2 linked regions of the Notamacropus eugenii genome follow. The protein of the gene in region 2 purifies or fractionates together with the protein of the main gene of each other region. This does not show direct contact. Links are inferred from orthologs where the notes say so. Each region holds a gene or a part of one and is shown on either strand. Other genes may lie near its edges.

What was found.
Region 1: the proteins of SRPK2 (region 2) and SON purify together in Homo sapiens (affinity purification with mass spectrometry; 4 studies listed by BioGRID and IntAct, with this or other methods). This does not show direct contact. The link is inferred for Notamacropus eugenii from reciprocal best matches to the Homo sapiens genes SRPK2 and SON.

Annotation. Positions count from the first base shown.
Region 1 is NC_092876.1:425,725,715-425,736,403, forward strand, and holds the start of SON (protein SON), read right to left. Parts: upstream 4,288-10,689; 5' UTR 4,228-4,287; coding exon 4,151-4,227; intron 3,851-4,150; exon of another isoform or gene 3,829-3,850; intron 1,528-3,828; coding exon 1,361-1,527; intron 1-1,360. Other genes in the region: GART (trifunctional purine biosynthetic protein adenosine-3), read left to right, coding at 4,617-4,635, 8,531-8,683, 10,045-10,140. UniProt on the Homo sapiens protein: RNA-binding protein that acts as a mRNA splicing cofactor by promoting efficient splicing of transcripts that possess weak splice sites.
Region 2 is NC_092874.1:150,431,756-150,442,433, reverse strand, and holds the start of SRPK2 (SRSF protein kinase 2), read right to left. Parts: upstream 4,141-10,678; 5' UTR 3,857-4,140; coding exon 3,748-3,856; intron 3,386-3,747; exon of another isoform or gene 3,173-3,385; coding exon of another isoform or gene 3,157-3,172; intron 3,041-3,156; coding exon 2,986-3,040; intron 1-2,985. UniProt on the Homo sapiens protein: Serine/arginine-rich protein-specific kinase which specifically phosphorylates its substrates at serine residues located in regions rich in arginine/serine dipeptides, known as RS domains and is involved in the phosphorylation of SR splicing factors and the regulation of splicing.

The DNA of each region.
Region 1 (10,689 bases), on a different chromosome or scaffold from region 2:
AATACCAAGAAAAGTAAAGTATTCAACATCCCACATGAACTAAGACCTTAATAAAACTATACTCTTCAATACCAAAAAGACCAAGAACACCAAATAACACAAAATTAAAATAAAATTACGTTCATCCTAAAATCTCTATTTCTTTTGCCTTATGGATTAAAAACACAAAAAACACTGAATCAAATGACACAGGTATTTTTTTTGAGGTATTCTTATATTCCAGTTCCTCAAGTGTTAAAATAAACATTCTAAAATTTACAAGTAATTTTTCAAAGGAAAATATCCCAAAAATGGCATTCAGAGGGAGAAACCTTCGTAATCTTTAACGTTGAGTTCAATAAAATTCTCACTCAACTAAGTGCGAAGAGTAAGTAATTTTATTTTATTTATAAGCAAATGGGTTATACTAATTTACACTGACACAGACACCTGCAAGCTCTTATCAAAATGTACAGGTTAGAAAAGAACGCAGAGAAAGAACTGTAACAGAAGTCAGACTGTGCTAAGCCATATTCATAATTTTTTTTAATTTCAAGTACAATTAAGATTTGAATAATTTAGATGTACAATTATTTTACTTTAATTCATGTACGTTATTATCTCTATCCCAAATCCTTATTATCTGTTACTTTATCCTTAAAAAGATAATTTTTCAAAATGGCTTAGATTCTTAAAAAGATTCATGATTTAAATGTTTTAATTAATATACATTCTAAACATAATTCAGTATGGGTCAGTCATCAGATTGATACAAGATAGGTGTTCAGTAGTGAGGTTGATTTTATGCTTCCCTGACTACCTCTGAATAAGAAGCAACTAGTATTATCTGTTATATTACATTTTTAGTAACACAAAATGGAAATAACCTACCTTTCATCTTTTCTCTTCTCTTTGCCTCCCCCGGTCAGAACACAGTTAAGATGATAATGTTCAAATTATTTCAACCTACCTGTACCACAGATTTTTTATCTCTAAAATGAGAGAATTTGACTATAGGATTCTAGCTATAAATTCTAGCATCCTAGTATTAACTGGTGTCATCAACGTACACTAGTATGAAATTCAGAATCATGACACTATGATACTACAAGACCTCAAATAAGAAAAAGTTCAGCTTCAATAGGTATAAATGAAAACATACCACCTTTTTAGATTTTTCTGTAAAGTCTGAAGACTTTTAAAAATAGATCTATCTGTAATTATTCAGAAAATTCAATTAATCTAAGAAATCAGGCTATAGCAAAAGTTTCCTGTATTGTGAAATATGCTCAAAGATACTGCTTTCTAAAGACCTTTGAAGCTTCCCTTGAGATTTCTAGGGAAGGATAATCCTCAACACAAATAATCCCTTTTACTTTACCTGGTTTATATCGTAATTCTGTGTCTAGGACCCCAGACAGCACTTCTTCTATCTTCTGCACTATTTCTTCATTTGGTAGGCTCCTTGCACAGGCAGCTGCATCACCTGACTGGTTTCCTTCAACAGGTGGGTTTGTTTCACCATTCAGCTGGCCTTCAACCCTGCCACTGATTTAAAAATAAAACAGCAAAATTCATTAACATCATGGATATCAATATACAATAAATCAGCACAAAATAACAGCATATGAACAATTTGCTTAATTTTAGTGACTTTATTATCACGTCTGAATATGTAAGATACACTGCCATCTCTTATAGTTTTTGTAAACATATTCTTAAACCATAATAACTCTTTCTCAAATTTTATTAACTTCTAATCTACTTCCAACTAATTTATATTCTAATTTTATAGTATCACATTACCACCATTTTACAACTCTGCAAATCAAGTAAAAACTTCCAAAATAAAAGTTTTCTAAGCTCATCTGTTTCAATACGCTCAGAAATCTAAGTTGAGGCTTTTGGTTACTTATACTTGGCAAAAAGAAAAAAAACTCATGAAAATACAAAAAAAAAAAACAACACATGCATGGCCTAATATACACTAGGAGAATATGGGCATAATGAAGAAAAAAATAGTATTTTTAGCCAATCTGCTTACCATTACTGACCATCAGCATAAGAAAGACACTCAAATACATACAAGGTAAAAATAAATCACATGCTGTCTTTAAATTACATAAAACTTCCATAAATGTATAGAAAAACGTTTAGGGAAATCTCTTATATACAAAAACGGCTCAGGATATTTAAAATAAACCAATTAACTAATGAGAATTCATTATGCTTTAACCAATACCACTGTACACATAAAAAAAGCACTGGAGTTCTCACTTTCAGAATACAATTAAAATATTATCTGCAATCTTCACCTGTTTAAATCTGAACAACTCATTAAGCTAGTTATGGTTGTGTTCATTTGTCTGTAAAAGACTAAAGAATGAACCTATGTTTAAGTTCTTCCAATTCACATTTTAAAGCATTTTAAATATTTACTACAATTCTGATTGTGTTCCTTTCAAACAAATTAAGTAGGTCTGATCTGTCAGATCAAATTACCATATGCCCAAAAAAAGTAAATCTCAAAAAAAATTCAATTACAATGGGAAATATAACCAAGGAAGCACAATGAAACTACTAATACAACTAATTTTGGCCAATTAAACAATGAAGTTAGTAGCACACAATCCAAAATCTATTCATATTTGGTTCAGAATTACATTAAGACAAGGAGAGACAAAAAACATTGTAAGAGAGCAAGAGGTATGAAAGAGGATAACTAATGTTCATATTTATGCTTTGCTTGGACTGATATTAAAATTGGCTTAGATTTCCTCTAAGCACATCTTTAACGCTGAAAATGTTGAGTGGTCCAGAAATTTGCTATGCATAATCGACAAAATGGACTGTAATCAAACGAAATAGAACTACACTACACAAATTAAAAACTTATGCAATAAAAGTCCCAGGAATAAACCTCATCTGAAAATTCTGTTCACTCATATGACCAATACCTTGGCATCACCACCCCTTTCCAGCCCCCCAACACAATCCAGCCTACCGTTCAGTAAATGAGAATTAAGAACTTAATTTGGCTATTTAACTTACTCTTGGAGATTCAGTTCACACTACATTGTGACCAACAAACAGACAGGATCAAGATGCTGGAGTTTAAAGACAGTGAATAGCCACGGGGAGAAAGTATAAGAGAAAGTGTAACCCATATTTTAAGCTTCAGGGATTCTTGTTCCTATCTTCTTACTAAAAAGGACCAAATAAGGTGGACAAGGCACAAACACTAACGGAAAACCAAGCAAAACCAGTACCTCCTCGCTATTTTCCTTTCTCTCTAAACAGATTTTTATTTTTTTTTTTTGCAGATTTCCTTTCCCCACATTTTTGGTGGGGAAAATGGGAGCATAAAGAACAATAGCGGTTCGTTAATCAAGTCAACTTTCCTTGTTATTTGAAGCCAGGAAAGGAAAAAAACTGAAATTCAAAAGATTCCCCCTGTACTCCCAACCTCCAAACACAGACACAGGCACACACACACGCGCGCGCGCGCGCTCACAATTTCAACCATCTCCCCCTTCAAACCAACAACAAACTGAACAAATTTTAACTGCTTCCAACTCTTTTAAAAACAGGTGGAAAGAGCAAAGAGAAAACCAAAAGCCTCGATAATCCACAAACTAGAATAATCTAAAATTAGCAAGAACGAAATTTTAGGATTATACTATAAAAACGCCGTTATACACCCTTTCCGAGGCTGGGGACAGAATGGTGAAATCTCCGGAGATGAAGGCGGTGAGGGGGGAGGGGGCGGGGGAGGGGAAACGAGGAGGAGGAGGAGGAAGAAGAGGAGGATCGGAGGAGGAACCTAGGCCCACCCCAAGGTGGACAACGGGGCCTGGAAGACGGAAGGGAGGTTGGTTACTCGGAAGAGAAAGGGAAGTCTACGAAAGCAGCCCGTAGGCTGGGGGTTGGGGGGGGCGGGGGGAGGAGAGCGCCACGGAGCGAGAGACGAAAGCCCTCGCGCGCGAGGGGAGAGAGGAAGGAAGGTAGGCGGTGGGGGAGGGGGCGGGGGCCAGGAAATAGATCCCAGGCCCGGGCGAGGCTCCTGCAGGGCCTAGGCCAAAGGACGATGGCGGCTTCGGGGATACCGCGGTGGAACACTGTATCGGTACCAGCGGTCTGCTAAAGGCAGATGCGCCTGGGAACACGTTACCTGGAAAGCTCTTGCTGAATTTCCCGGAATTTACTGACCACGAAGGACCTGAAGATCTGCTCGATGTTTGTCGCCATGGCGGCCGCTCCGTTCTCTCAACTCCTCCTCCCAAGACCTCCAGGCTCCCAGCATGCGTCGGGAGTAGGCGCTACGGCCGGTTCCTTATCTCTCTTCCCTCATTGGCTCCCGCTGGCGCTCCGGGGAAGGCACGCTCTGCCACTGAACCAATCAGCGAACACGCATTCGTTTTCTCGGTCCGTTCTTGCGAGACGAGGGCGGAGCCGTTGACGTAAGCTCCAAGCTCGGGGCTGCGGCGGCCATGTTAGTGCCTGACGCAGGCGCCATTACAGGGCCAGTGTCTGCGGGTGAATCCCGCCAACGTGAGGGGCTTAGTCGTTCGCGTTCGGGGTGGGAGGTGGGCTTGTACTTTTGTGATTTGGGTTGATTTAAGGGCATAACTATCCAGATGGGAGACTGGCGGCGAGGTGAGAACTAGTCAGTGTTCCCGCGGAGCCCGCGCACGCCTGAGGGGGGCGCCAGGTCCGGCTTTATTGCCGTCTCGGGGAGGACCCGCCTCTTCGTCGCCTTCCTCCCAATGCTTGTGCAGAGTCCTGTGACCCTGGAAAATACAGCCTTTGCTTCCCTCCGCCCCCGGCCCCTCCCCCGCCCCTCCCGTCTGAATCCGCCTCGGTTTCTGAGCCCCGGGCTGCGTGGTCCCTGTGGCTGCTCCGGGAGCCTACGAGCCCCAGCGTGCAGGCGGTGTTCCGCGCTCCTCTCGCGAAACAGCCCGCCGGCCCCCCGCCGTGAGAGCCCTTAGTCCTCCTTAAACTATTCACGGGTGCCCGGCGGCCTCAGAGGTACCAGAGTGGGGGGGAGGGGGGGGTCGTGACAAAGCTGTCGTTACGTGACATGTGTGAACACGGTTCCCCGGGTCCGGGTCGAACCCACGGGGCCCAGGAGGGGCATCACGCTCCCGGGCGGTCGAGGAGCAGGCCGCCGCCCAGGGCCCGCGGGCCTGGGGGGAGGTGGTTGGGTGGCTGGGGGTGTCGCCGCTGAGGTGCCCGGGTACGAATTTAGGAACGTAAATAAGCGCCAAAGGTGGGAAGGCTTGTGGAACGCGGGAGTGTCCTTCCCTCCCGGACGGACGGACGGACGCACGCGGGGCCGAGGAGCCTTTGGGCGTCCACGTGTGCAGAGCGCTCGCGGCTTGTCGGCGGGAGGAGAGGGAGAGCCCAGGCTTTGTCATTCATCCCGGGTGGGACGGCTGCCTTCTCCTTCCGCGGCCTGGCCACGTGCGTGTCCTCCCGCTGTCACTGGTGGAGCATCTTTCTGCAGCCTGCTTACGGCAGAATTCCTGTCGTTTATTTAACTTAAATTTAATTATTTTAGGAGACGGGTCCGAGTGCTTTTCCCGTAGCTGGTCTCCTTTTTTCCTTGATATGTATTTCAAATAGGATTTCCTTAGTTTTTTCATCCTTCAGGGTTTACCCTGTGCTTTCCCCCACACTTTAACTGTGAGCGGTGCTTTTCTTGAAATGAACTTGGCGTTGGAAGAATTGGCCTTTTTCACCCGTGGGCTTGGCCACGTGCTCTTGTTTTCCAGGCTTGTTTTCCTAATCTTACCACTTGCTTTTTAACGTGGTTTTAATTAAGTTCCTGCTCATGGTTTCCAGTTTCTGATAAGCTACATTTTTCCATCCAAGCAAATGATTTTTTCTTCAGTTTTTCAAAAATTTAAGAATTGAAGAGTTCCTTCATTCAGTTTGGTTTTTCCATGTGGTCCAAAATGTTTTCAGTAGGTGCTTTTCTTCCTACAAAATTGGGAATTTTGAAAGTAGCTTTTATTTCTGCTTTGTACTGTTTACTTATTCAATGGACCGCAAGTCATCCTCATATAAGCTGAACAATGCTGTATCCTGTCTAAGAAAAGAAATAGATATACTTGTTTTAAGGATGAGAGAACTGAGAGTTACCTAGGTTTAGATGTCCAGAAAAGTTCTGCCCAAGGTCCTAAGTGTCAGAGGTTGAATTTGAGCTCAGGTCTTCCTGACCCCTGACTTCCAGAGTTCTTGTCTGCCTGGCCCTGGGTACCAGGTAGTTGCCAAGTCCTATCAGCTCTACCCTAGCACCTCTTCATTCCTGCCTCAGCTACACTACTTCAGGTCCTTACCAGAAGTTGCTTAGACCGTTGCAGGTAGTCTCCTGATGGGTCTCTTTACATCCAACATTCCCAATTTCTACTCTGTCCTCTGGCAGATTGATCTTCCTAAAGCCTAGGTTTGCCTTGTCATTCCTCTGCCCTAGAATCTTTACTGGGGCCTAGATAGCCAAATCCTGCCAGCCCCTGAGCTAAGGATGGTTTTTAACTTCTTAAATACATTCAGACTTTTATTTTAAAATGTAAACACTATTCTTAGTCCCCGGAAAGGAATCATCTTTTGCCTGTAAGATAAAATACAAATTTCTCCGTTTGACCCTCAAAGCCCTTCATAAACTGACCCCAGTTTATCTTTCCAGCCCAATTAAATATTATTACTCTTCATACGCTTCAGTCACATCAGCCTCTGTTGTTTCCTGCATACACGTATTCTGTCTTCTCTTTCCTTCCTGTCCTCATGTCTTAGCACAGGCTCTACCTCATATCTGGTGTATCCTCCCTCTTTACCTCTACTTTGTGTACTACAGCCTTCTAGAAGTCTTTTCTGATTTTCCAAATTGTTGGATTCCCCTCATCCTGAAGTGATTTTGTATGACTTTTTTATACATGCTCCATTTTTCTATGAACATTTTATATTCCCTCCTTCCCCTGAGACAGCTAGAGATAGGTGGCAAAGTGGGTGGAGCACTATGCCTGGAGTCAGGAAAACCTGAGTTCAGATATAACTGGACACTAGCCAGCTGTACAACCTAGGGGAAATCATTTAAACTGGACCTCAGTTTCCTCATCTGTAAAATGGGTATATAATAGCAGTCCCTGCCTTTGTAAAGTACTTAGCACAGTTCTATGTAATAATAGGCCTTCAGATACTTGATTGTCATATTTTATTCAGTTTCATTCAGTGTTTTAATAGTGTGTGCTATGTGTCACTGAGAATACAAAGAAAAAAATGAAATATCCCTGTCTTCAAAGAAGAAGAGAGGAAAGCTAGTTTGATTTTGAACTTGATGATCAAAAGTGACAAGTTTCCAGAAGCCGCCTAAGGGAACCTGTCCAGCAGGCGATTAGAAATATGACCAGTCTCACATTTCCAAATGCATGTGAGGCAGATCTACATGGATACCTGATCGGCACCTCAAACTCAACATATCTAAAACTGAGCTCATTCCTCCTTCACACAAATCCCCCCCAAAATTGCCCCTCCTAGCTAACCTTGTTTGTGCCATTCATTATCTGAAATTCTCTTAGTTATCGAAAAACTCCACTGTCCTATTTTGCTCTTTTCCAATTAGTTGCAAAGTCCTGTCTATACTGTCTCCAAAAATAACCTCCTGATTGCATCTTTTCTTCCTATCCACTCTACTGCATCCTAACCTTTAAATTCTTGTTACCATATATGACACCAAAAAATTTCTTAACCTGTTATTTTAAACCAACCCTTCATAATGCTGTGGCAGTGATTATCCTGGTGTACAAGTCTAACCAGGTCGCACTCCACTGCTCAGAAAATCTCAGTCATTCCCCATTGCCTGCAGGATAAAATACTATATTCTTGCCATCCTATTCAGTGTCCTCCTCCAGTCAGCTTCCAGTCCTACCTCTCAGTTTGTGGAAATCCTTGCCTTCAAGGCCTAATTCATATACTACTTATTTCTCGAGGTCTGCCCGGATTACTTCCAGCCAGAGAAAATAGCATTCTCTGACCTTTCCTGTGTGTTTTTCTCATTCTGATCATATTTGTCCTCATGTCTCCTTGCCCTACTATATTTCCCTTGAGGGCAGGACCTGAAATTCTTAACAGAACCTAACACAATACCTTTCACACAGTAGTGGCTTAAGTATTGAACCATTATGGAAGCAAGATTGAGACTGGAAGGGCTGACTGGGGAATAAGTTGTGTAGAGATGATCGTATGGAGTAGATGAATGGAGAGGGAGTGAAAACGAAAAATAAAGAGCCAAATGATACAAGCTCAGGGAGTGCTACCATTTAAAAGGAAGGGTCAGAAAAGCAGAATAATTAAGCTACTGCTACTTTAAAAAAAAAAAAGCCAGAAGCCAAAGAAAAGGTCTCAAGTATTGCCCAAAACGTAAGGAAAACAATAAGGAATGAGAAAATGAATGGATTTGAGTTGTTTTTTAAAATTTTAACTGAACTTGATTCTCCTGGCACTGTTTATCAATTTCTTTTCTTTTTTTTTTTTTTAAATCCCTACTCTGCAGACAAATTAATGGCAGTCCGAGTGCTTATAATTGGCAATGGGGGAAGGGAACACACACTGGCTTGGAAACTTGCTCAGTCTCAGCATGTCAGCCAGGTGATAGTTGCCCCAGGAAATGCAGGAACAGCCAACAATGGGAAAATATCAAATTCAGGTAAAGGCATTTTGATTTATAGAATGTATGATCTAAAAAGGACCTTAGTGATCATCTAACTCAACTCTATCAATTTACAGATAAGCAAACTAAATGTTAAGTAACCAGTCTAGTTATTTTATGTTGAGTATCAGTAGCATCTGATTTTTTTTTTTTGTTTTATTTGTTTTGGTTATTAGGGGAAAAAAAATCCTCTCTCCCCTCTCCATAATTGGAAAGTGTGAATCAATTTGCCAGAAGTGTAAGATGTGCTGTTCTGGTTATAGTTCTATCTTACAGAATTACTTTATGCCAACATCTTATTAAAAGTGCTTCATAATGATATGGATAATTACATGGTTCCTTAAGGTTTGTATAGAACTTTATATACATTATCTCATTTGGTTTTTACAGTAACCTTGTGAGGTAGATGCTTCTAATTTCCCCATTTTGCACATGAGGAAATTAAGGCTGAAAGTAACTTGCCAGAGACACAATTAGTGTCTGAGGTACAATCTGAATCCAAGTCTTCCCCCTTCCAATCTCATCACTCTCTGTTATCAGAATGGAATAGTCTGATAGCATTCTATAACAACCAAAAGTTTTGTCAAACCATTCTACATATCTTACATAGTTTGAATTAGTCGAATTAGCAGTAATATTAATAGTTAACATAGAGCTATGGTTTGCAAAGTGCTTTATGGAAATTGTCTCTTGGGAATATGGGTAGGAAGCATTATTCTGGGCTTATGTTTTGAAGTGGATTGTGAATGTTCAGCATGTAAAAGGAGATTGTCTTTTGAACGAACTTAAAATAGCAAAGGTATTTAAAATAGAATCCTGTTGATATACGTAAAGGATACATGTTGGTTAATGGAAGTTCTGTTTGCAAAAAACATTTTTAAAGCAAATATATATTTGAAAATAATATATTTGTGCACAGGGATATTGTACATAAATGCAATGCTCAGCAGCTTCAAAAAACAGTATCCTAGAAACTGGCTATTATATCTTTCTACTATGACTATTTTTCCAACATTTAAGAGATTGTTAAAATTTAACAATGGTAGTATTTGGACTTGGCTATGAAATACTGTTTACAGTACAAACACTAAAATTCTTATATTTGTGAAAGAGAAACTAACCTCATTATATAGTAGTTCATAAAGGAATTTACAGAGCTTTGGTCAGATTATTAGGACGTACACATAGCAACTGAAAATGAACTAGTTCTCTGGCATGATTCATTAAAAAATTTCTCAATTAAACTCAGTTACATAGTACCTATCCCCCAAAAAATTAGAAGTTGGCAATTATACCTAAGTAGATGATAGACAGCCTTACAATTAGATGTGAAATTTGTTGTTGTTTTATCTTTACAGCTGTATCAGTCAATGATCATACCGCCCTCACTCAGTTCTGCAAAGATCAGAAAATTGAACTTGTAGTTGTGGGACCAGAGGCTCCTCTTGCTGCTGGTAAAGTTGGAAAAATTCCAGTTTGCTTCTGTAAGATTGGCTTTATGGAAGAGAGCATTTAATCATAGAATTTCCGGGTTAAATTCCACGTCAGAGATAAACTAACAGACCTTTATTTATACAAAAGAATTTCTTTAAAATGTGCTATTGAATAGATTTTTAAAATTTAACCTCAGGTCCTGAATTGATTTTCTGGACTTCAACTGGTAACTACCTAGGAGTGTTTTGTTTTGTTTTTAAAGATTTAAATTGAAACAACAAAAAGTGCTCAATAGTGTTAGTTTCTGTCATTTTTCAATATGCAGACTGTTTAGTTGGCCTTTGGAATACCAAAAAAAAAAAAAAACTTGGTGTGAAAGCAAGTTTTACCAATATTAGCATCCCATTTGTTTATACAGATTGAATGCAAATAAAAAAAATTGATTTTGCTGTACTTAAGAAATATCACTCACAATTTCTGTTTGACATCAGTAAGAATGAAATAAATAGCAATTCACATTTTGTATGTCCCTAGTCATTTCCAGCCTAATCCAATCTCTTTTCAGCTGA
Region 2 (10,678 bases):
GAGGAAGAAACGCCAGTATGGATGCTGATGTCCCCAAGTCCAAAACACAGTTGATGTGGATGTGTAAGCTTTAAGAAAAAAGGGAGAATGACCTGTTGGTCAGCAGATAACTGCCACCAAAGCCAAGGCTATCTCCACTCTGCTCTGCTGCCTAAATATGAAACAGTTTGTATTACTATCCACATACAAAAATTGGCTCTTCTCAAAAAGGGGCCTGCCCAAGTATGCCAAATAACTTAGTTTCAGTATTTATGAAAACTAAGTTTATTTTTTTAAATATATACTTTGAATTGGGAAACAAACAGCAAGAAATTATCTTTTCTGACCAAATAAATTTATTAACTTCATTGCCTAGCTATTACAAGACTTTTTAATGATCAGGTTTTTTAAAAATAATTTTAGTTCAATTCAAACACACTTTTAAAAATTAGTACTTGCCCTCAAGGAGTTTAGTATTCTACTAGAAGCCCAGAATCAAGCTCTCCATACATGGCAGGTCTCATCTGTCATAAACGTACTAATCTACTGTCAAAGGAATTGACTTTTTCTATATAATTCTTACATAGTTTGTGCACTATGGAAGAGATAAGGACATGAAGTAATAGAAAGGGGATATATTTTTGTCAAATACCTATTATTTCCTAAGCACAACAGATGGAAACTATGCAAGACACCTGCAACAATAACAAAAAAGGAAATAGTTCTGTAACAGAGATTCTTAACCATTTTTTATGTCGTGAATACTTTTGGCAGAATACTCCTTCTCATATGCATTTTAAATGCATGAAATAAAATACATAGGATTACAAAAGTGATAAATTATATTGAAACAGTTATCAAAATATATATATTTTTTGAATTCACAGACCCTAGGTTAAGTATCTCAGCTCTAGACATGGATTACTAAAACCCATACATTTCCACTCATGAGATTAGAATATGCATCTAACATAATCTAATGAGGATTTTAAAATATTTATGACATACCCTCCAATTAGTCTTTTTTCCAATCCCAAATTACTTTTTTCAACATAAATAATAAGATTTAGAATAACAAGAGACCTTAGAGATTAACCAGTTCAACTCTTCATTTTACAGATGAGAAATCTGAGACCCAAGAAGGTAAAGCAAATTTTCCAAAATCTACCTTGTGTTGCTAATTACAGAAACAAGTTACATAAAATAGATCCATTCAGTTCTAATCCACACTAAGTTCAAAGCCAAAGGATAATTTTTACATTTACTGTCTCAAATTTCAGAATATTTTTTGTCTAGTTTCCTCACTTTTTAAAAAACATCCCACCACTTCATGTATAATGTGTGTAATTCTTGGTATACTTGCTGAACTCAGGATTCATTTGTGAATGAATAATTTTCAGTTATATTATACCACCTCATCCATTAATAATGATTTAATGAGCTTTCACAGATGTCACTAACATTAGATTCTTCTAAAAGAAGAATGATAAAGAAAAACCTTGGATGAGTTATAGGGAGCCTCCCAAAGAAAGTCCTAACTTAAACTAGACATTTTATAATTTCATTTAAATTTTAAATTCTTAAAACATTTACCACGATGACACCCCTATATTGCCACCCAACCACATTCATGAAAATATTTTTGCTTAAAAGGAATTCTTAAGCATATAAAAAGAAAAAATGTTGAATATTGGTCAATGAAAAATCTTCGCTGACTCCAGTGCTTCAAAAGATACATTCCAGGGCAGAAAACATAGCTGAACCATTCTGCTACACTACCAATTATAAATCCCTAGCCACTGGTTTAATTCTGGTCCATTTATACGTTTATATTAAATTTAGATGTAGTGGGGGTGGCAGCTTGGTGGAATGCACGTTTTAAACATGATAACACCAGTCATCATACTTTCTAAGGCAATGAATGGCTGGAGCTTAATCAAATGCCAATCTCTTTCACCATAAATCATACGCCCACCTACTGGATGGCTTCTTCAAAGCAAAAGCCAACCGAGAAAAATATCCAGCAGCTAACACACTGGAAGTTCATGACCCTACAATAAAGTTTCGGGGAAAAAATGAAGAACTCCAAAATACAGAAACTGTGAAAACTCAACTCACACCAACACGGAGCAGATTTATCCAAAGCAAATCAATACACTTTTCGCAGAACAAACGCCGATTTTCGACGCAGTAGTATAAATACCAATACTATCTACTCGGGGCGTGGGAGCGAATACGAAGGATAGCTGAAGAAGAGGAGAAAAAAGTGAGAAACCGGGATGTCCCTCTCCTCCAATAAATAATTCCCCGGGTGAGAGGCGAAGACCGGGGAAAAGGAAGAGTGGTTGATTGGTGAATGAATGAATGAATTCCAGTACATCTTCTACACCTGCAACTACAAACTTAGACCTCCTCACCGAGAGGAAAAAAGCGTTCGAGGCTCACTAAGACAAAATACAAAATGAGGAAGGAGAGTTAAAAGCAAAAGAAAGGGCACGCGCTGGCCTGAGCCATTCATCCCAACACCCCGACGGCCGCTCTCCCTCCCCCACCCAAGGAGGCAGAGGTCTGGGCTAGGATGCAGAGCTCCGGTCTGAGCCAAAGGCGGCGGCGGCGGCGGCGGCGGCGGCGGCCGCGGGAGGCACGCACCCACCCCTCCCCCCAGCCCCGGGACAGCGACCGGCAGCTGCCGGGAGCCCTCGCCTCGTCCGCCTTCCCCGGGGCCCCAGGGGAGGGAGTGCTGCGGGGGAAGGGGGGAGCGTCCGGTGGGAGGGGGGAGCGTCCCGCGAGAGGGGCGCAGCCGGGGCGCAGCCGGGGCGGGGGGGAAGGAGGAAGAAGAGAGCATCCCGAGGGGGGGCGCCCGACGCGTCCCGCCCCGCCCCCTGCCCCGCCCCCAGGGGGGTCCGGGCAACTTTCCTCCGCGGGAACCCGGCGCCCCCCGAGCCTCCCCAGTCTGGAGGGACCAAGGGGGTGGAGGCGGGACGACGTCGGGGAGTCCGGACTCACTTTTTCAGATGTTTCTCTCTCTTCGGCCTCCGCTTTCGGGCCTGAATGGCCAGCACTGTGGGGGGTGGGGGGGAAGGGAAGAGAGAGAGACACACATTAACGGTTGGGGACGTTGTGGCCTCCGAGGGACGGGGCGGCGGGAAGGGCAGAGAGCTGAGAGGGCGCACACACCTTTCCGGGAGCTCATCCCGCTCAGGGAAGGGGCGGTGACGGGGAGCCGGAGCCGAAGCCGGAGCCGGAGCCGGAGCCGGGGGCTGCAGCCTCCTCCACTCGCTCCGCCAGTCCAGGAGGAGGCGGGAACCGCGCCTGCGCCACCGGCCGCCGCTCCCCGCGGGGGCCCAGCGCAGGACCCGCCCCCAGGGCCCGGCCCCGCCCCAGGCTCCGCCCCCGTCCCGGCCTGGGGGCCCCAGCCGCGGGCGTAGGTCTTGCCAGCTCCTGACACCCTCCCTCTCTATTCCCTCACCCTAGCTTCGGAGCGCCTCAACCTAAGCTGGCACAGAAGCGTCCTCCCCCAACCCCAGCCCCCACCTCGAGCTCTGCGGGACCAGCCCCGCCCCTCTCCCGGCTCTGGCCTCCTCCTCCAATGGCTCAGCCCCGCGGTCCTCCCTCGATCCGTCGCCCCTCCCTTCCCGTCGCTGCCCCCGCCCAGCCCCCATCCTAGGACTCACTCACCTTGGGTCGGGCTCCTGCCCTCGCGATCCCCCCATCCCTCCAAACTCCCGGTGAAGGTCGCTCCCGCATTTCTTCCCTCTTCTCGCTCACCAGAGGAGTCTTGACTTGGTCCAACACCATCTTGTCTCCTCCCGACCTGGCTCCGGTTCAGACGACCTCTTTTCTTTCCACTCAAGCCCCTTTTCCCCTTTTCCTCCATCTTTTCGTCCCTTAGTCCCCAAGTTGGTCCCTCCTTCCACCGTTCTCTTCGGATCGGTTTTGATCCCTTATCCCTAGGACCCAGGACCAGCTTCTCCTGCTCCTTTTCACAGGTATCTAAATTTAAAAAGCGGTGTTACATTTAGAGAACTCGACACAAACGTACCCCCTTGGTATAATATTGGCACAACTTTGATAGCCCTTTCAAGGCCAAGCCAAGTCACTCAGGTGTGAAACAACTTTCTTTTCTAACTCTTCTCAAAGGCTTAACTTGAAATACTGAAAAGACCGAATGTTGTTACTGTGGTTGAAAGAGCACTGGGTTCCGGAATCTGATGGCAATCTACATTCGAATCTAGATTCTTCTCTTGGCCTGGGTGACCTTGGAAAAGTCACTGTGCTCCTCTGGGCCATCATATCTTCACCTGTACAATGAGGATCTTGGACTAGGTGGCTTTTATGACCCATTCTCTGAATCTATGATCCTAAACTCTCCAAGATCCCTTCCATATCTGATTCCTATCACAGTTTAACCCTGTCTTTGTCATGGTATGAATTTAGACAAGGAGATGATCTCTAATGTTTCAGCTTCTAAAAACTATGAACGCAAATAATATATAACCTCACCAAGCATGTTTCCTCATGAGTAAATATGGAAGTCTTGATTTCTTTTGTGAGGAATGAGAGTATCATATCTTGTGAGATTATTGATGTGTGTGTGTATATATATATATAATATATATGCCATATATATTATATATATATATCCTCAGTGTAGGAGTGATCTTCCCAAAATGTTCATTTTTAGTGGAAAGTATTAGTTTAGGAAAAAATAAAGAAAGAAAAAGAAGGCTGATTATCTGTTTGAAATGTCCTTCCAATTGTGCCCCAAAAGATCCCTATTTTAAATAACTTTCAGCATCAATTAACAAGAATGCTTTAATAATATCACAGAATACTATACCAAAAGTTTTCAGAGATGTGCTAAAATCCTTAAATGTAGTCTTTTAAAAAAAAAAAGATTAAATACAGCCCTGGCACATTTATTGAAGACCAGCAGAAGGTACCCTACCTATAAATGAAAAGTTAAAAGAGTCAAAGCAATAAAAGCATCAAGAAAATAAAAAGGTAATGTTATTATCCTGCTCATTCAAATCACAAGATTTAGAACTAGAAGTCAACATTAGTCAAGGCCTACTATGTGGCAAGTACTATACTGAGCATTGGGGTGCAAAGAAAAGCAAAAGATAATTCCCGCTTTCCAGGAATTCACAGTGATCATTATACTCCAATCTCATACAGATGAATGAATAAAGCATTTTAAGTTGTTTATTTTGTTGCTTATTGTGTTCTTTTTTCAGTTATGTCTGACTATTTGTGACCCTATTTGGAGTTTTCTTGGCAGAGATATTGGAGTGGTTTCCCATGCCCTTCTCCAGCTCTTATTACAGATGAGGACACTGAGGCCAATCAGGGGTTAAGTGACTTGCTATGGGTCACACCATTACTAAGTGTCTGAGGGCTGATTTGAACTCAGGAAGCTGTATCTTCCTGACTCCAGGTTCTGTATCCACCATGTGACAATCACCTTGCTTACCTCTTTAGATAGAAGTAGAAAAAGTTAATAGCCCTTACTCTCTCAAGGATTTCATACTATATTTGGCAAAGACATCACGTTCAGTTCTAAGTAGGGAAAGACAATACAGTGTGGACAGGAAGGCTCTGAAGATGTAAGGGTACAGTTTTAGGGCAGATGGTAAGATCCAGGAGTCCTTAGATAGAGAAAAACAGAAAATGAAACCAAGGCCCAGGGAAAGGCTTGCTTGAGATCACACAAGTAGTGAAGTAGCAGAATTAGTATTCAAGCCCAGCATCTTTGACACTAAATCCAGTTTACTAAGTTGCCTTCATAATTGGCTACAATGAAGTTTTCAAAAGTACATCAGCTATTTCATTGTCAGAGAAGTTTTATAAATGTATCCTTACCTCAAGGTTGACTAGCCATAACATTTATGAAAACATGTAATGTTCTAAAGGATACTATATAGCCTAAATGTATCTTTTGGATGTAAAACTTAAATGTGTTTGTTCTTGTGACCAAAATGTGAGTACATTTCTATAAATTAAGGGAGGATAACACTTGTGGCCCAGTATTAATAATGCAATATTTGCAAAGTGCCTTGAATTTCTTTAATAAAAATATAACTTCATCATCATCAAACAGCATTTATTAAATACTTAACCATGATACTTGTCTTATTGCTATATAAATTAAGAGAGTCAGAATTTGGGGGCTAGAAGAGACACAGAGAACTACCAAAATATGAATAATAATGATACCAGGTCATATTTTATAGCATTTTATGGTTTCCAAAGTATTCTCCTTACAACAGCCCTGTGAGAATGGTAATATAATCCCCATTTTACAGATAAGTATCCTGAGGCTTAAAAAACTTAAGTGACATCTAAGGCAGCTAACTGGTAGAGTACTGGGTCTTAAATCAAGAAGATCTGAGTTCAGATCCAGCCTCAGATATTTACTAGATGTATAACCCTAGGCAAGTCACTTAACCTTTGACTGTTTCAGTTTTCTCAACTATAATATAAGGATAATAATGCCATCTACTTCACAGGGTTTTTATGAAGATCAAGAGAAATTATCTTTGTAAAGCATTTAGCATAGTGTCTAGCATATGGTAGACACCTGTCAACCAGACTAGAACCAGTTTCTAATCTTCTTGTTCCCTTTCCTTTCCCTGAAAAGTTTAATGGAACTGGGTTTCAAATTCAGATCTAGATTGAGTCCAAATCTAGTACTTTTTCTTTTTTTTTTTATTTTACTATAGTAACTCTCTCACTAATCTGTACAGTTTAGAAATTTACTCCCTATAAAGCTAATTCTTATCTTTACAAATGACAAAGTTGTTTGAAAGAAGACTTCAGGGAACACACAAGTGAAAAGCAATATAGTAAAAAAAAAAAAAAAAAGCATACATTTCCTTTATTTTAAAATGAAATAAAAGGTTCTAGTGCCATATGATAAAACATATCAAGGATGATAAACAGTTGGATAGGCAAACCATAGAGCTCATCTATTAGTACATATATCCTGGAAAGATACTACCAATGAACAATGAGTTAGGTCCACAACTGAACAGGAGGAGGAAGGAGAGCTGGAAGGCCTGTGGAAAACTGCACAGTTCATTTAGTGATCCCAAGCTTCTCCACAAAACAAAAGCCCATCTTTCTGACATCAATAGTTTCCCGGTAATGTTGCATGCCTTTGAGTAATGAAACACTATGGTCTCCAAACAACTGAAATTAAGGATTCCCAAAGAATAAAGGAAAGATGCATGGTTTGTGGCTGAAATATAAGTGGCAATACATTACAAGGGAGGACTTACACGGTAGAAACTGTATAACAAATGTCATCAGAGAAATTTATCACTGGAAAAAGAAGATGGGCCAGTCACACAGCAAAAGCAAAGGAAAACTGAAGGATAGCACATATGTTTCAATGTCACAAACTTGCAAGAAAGTGCCTACTACAGCAGCACATATGCTAAAATTGGAATAATAAAGAAATTAGTATGACTCATGTTCAAGGTTGACATACAAATTCATGAAGCAGTCTTTAATGTATTTTGTTTATTTTTGCAGGGGATGGGAAGAATGCTTGTTTTTTTATTTGACAATACTTATTTGTTACAAAGTGAAGGCATTTATTTTGGGAAGAGGAAAGTCTTAGGGAGGGAGTTGGAGTAGTGATAGTAATGACAAAAAATGAAGAAAAGTGTAAATTAAACATTAAAACACAGTCAAAGAGCAGAAGGTGGCACAGAAAACAGGACAGTGTTGATACTTCTCTATTAAACTTAACATACACTTGTAAAAAACAGTATATAATAGATATTAAGGTGAAGATTTCATATGCACATTTTTTCTACTTTTCTTTATAATCAGAAACTTTTATGTTTGTTGGTATTTGTCAAATTTGGAATAAAAAATATTTCAAAGAAAGTGTGAGGAATACCACCAGCATATTGGGAGTACCTTTTATGGTGGATTTATTGAAGGTTGTTAACAACTAGACTAGGATAGACAATCATGAACACTTTGCGGTCCTTGATGAGAGTACCCACATTGACATCACAGATTCCATTAGAGCATAATCAGGGATCACAGAATGAAAGATTCAGAGCTCAAAGAGACCTTAGATATCATCTAGTTCAATGCACTCATTTTACAGGGGAAGAAACTGAGGTCTAAGGAGCTGAAGTTCACTGAGTCATTGCAAAGTTTAACCTAAATTCCAGAACACTAATGATGAAACATGCTACCCACATACTTCATAGTGATGTGAAAGATTCAGAGTATAGAATGAGACAAATATACATATATGTGTGCATGCTTACATATATACATGTTCTTTTTCTTTTGGACATGGCAAAGAAAGGATTTTGTTTTGTTTGACTATACATGTTTGTTACAAGGAGGGGAAGATAAGGGTCATTCAGCCTTAGTTAGCATACCTCCAATGAGGGGGAACTCACTATCTTCAAAAACTGTTTATTTCAAGATACCTATGTATACGGTATACTGAAGAGAAAGAAGTATTAATTTTTTAACTTCTGCATTATGCTATCTAAATAATACTAGTGGTTGGAAAAGAAAACATTTGGAGACCATGCCACATAAAAACCACTTGGAAAAATTTATAATATCTAGACTACAGAGAGAAGACTGTGATCCTAGGATTTAAGGATGACATTATCTTATCCTTAAATGTTTAAAGAGTTGTCAAATAGGAGAAATACAAGAACTATTCTGTTTTGTCTAAGAAGCCAAAACTCAGACCAGTGGATGGTAGAGAGAAATTCTAACTCAATATAGGAAAGAACTTCCTAACATAGTCAGATCTTCTCAATTATTAACAAAGCCTTTCCTTGATTCTTCTAAACCCCAATAGCTATTGTCCTATTTCTTTATTCTCCTGAACTAATACTTTTCTTGGGAAAAAACTGTCTATAGTTGATCTTTCCAATTGAAAAAGAATCATTCCATTACCTCACTACCCAATCTATTCTGAACCAGGTTTTTGCCTTCTCCAACAGACTGAAACTATGTTTTCTAAAAGCAACAACAGAATGAAAACTGAACATTGTAATCACAATGACCCTGGGAGCTTGACCCTGGGCAAGAGTTGAAGAAATGTGCCTCCCTCCCTTCACTGGAGAGGTGGCAGGTCATCCATGTTGAACATTGCACATAATGTTGGGGTCAGCTGATGTGCTAGATAATTTTGCTGAACCGTTGGTTCCCCCTTTCTCTAAAGAAAGGAAAGACATTCAGGAATGGATGTGATATAAATAAATATATATGTGAACATTTTGCATGTGAGTTTTTGCATATATTTTTATATATGCCTGCCTTCTTCTTCAATAGAATGTAAACATAAAAGTAGCGTCTGCTTCATTTGGTCTTTGTATCCCTCACACGATGTCTGGAACATAACAAATGATTAAGTGATTGTAAAATGGATTGTTGGTTATTTATTGTAAAAAAAAAAAAGACAACAATAAAAATCAGATATTTTAAAAACCTACTATCTCTAAAGTTGCCAGTGATTTCCTAATTGCCAAATCCAATTACCTTTATTCAGTCTTCATCCTTCTTGCCTTCCCCAAATTCTTGTAATTTTTTTTTGACAAAGCTAATCCTTTCCCTCCTACTGGATACTGTCTTTTCCTTGGCTTCAAAGACACTTTTCTTGTCCTAATTCTCTGACTTCTCAAACTATTCCTTATTTGACTCTGTTCATTCCTCATTCTCTTCGTAATGTGTTGTATGTATTCTCCATGGTTCTGCCCTTTTTCTTTTCTTTCAACTATCTCTTTTCAGATACTATTTCTACATACCAAAGACACCGAATTCTGTATTTCCAAATGTGACTTCTTTCTAAGACTTTAGACCTGAATTTTCAACTGCCTTTAGGACTTACCCATCTGGATGCTTCACTAGCATCTCAGACTTAACATGACCAAACCTAGTTGATTACCAATTCCCCCAAACCTATTCCTCTTTCTACTTCATTCTTTCCATCTGTTTCAATGCCATTCTCCAAGCCTCCAATTTTGCTTTTTCTCACCTCTCCTATTCATTTAGCTACCAAGTTCTATTGCTTTCACCTCAGCATTTTTTTCTTTCTATTCCCACTGCTACTATCCTAGCACAAGCCCCAATTTCTGTCCAACTACACTGCTGAGATAATCTCCTAAGAAGTCTCCCTCCTATCTCTCCCCTATCTAATCTATATCTTACATTACTACCAAAATAATCTTTTATGAATTCATTCAATTAAAAAAACACCTGTCAAGCACTTCCTATGCAAAAGGCACATAAGTTTGATCATATTGATCACATCAATATTTTGCTTTAAAAAAAATTCTTCAGAGACTTACTATAGCCTTATAGGAATTCAAAAATTCTTTGCTTGTCATTTAAGGTCCCTCTATATTGTTCCACCATGCTTTTCAAACCTATCACATACTAATCTCCTCCAGTTTCTCTATTTGTCCTCCCATTTCCATGTCTGCGCTCATGATGTTTCCTATGGTTAGGATGTCCATTCTCCCTTTCTTTGTCCTTTCAATCCTTTGCATCTTTTAAAAATCAGCTCAGATGCTGTCTCCTCCATGAAGCTTTCCATGGTCTCCCTGAATGGTAACAACTGCCCCTCCTACCTGCCTGATCCATCAGATGGTGCTTTATTTTGCTAATTTCTAATGCACTTATATAATGTTATATATCATAGCTATCTGTA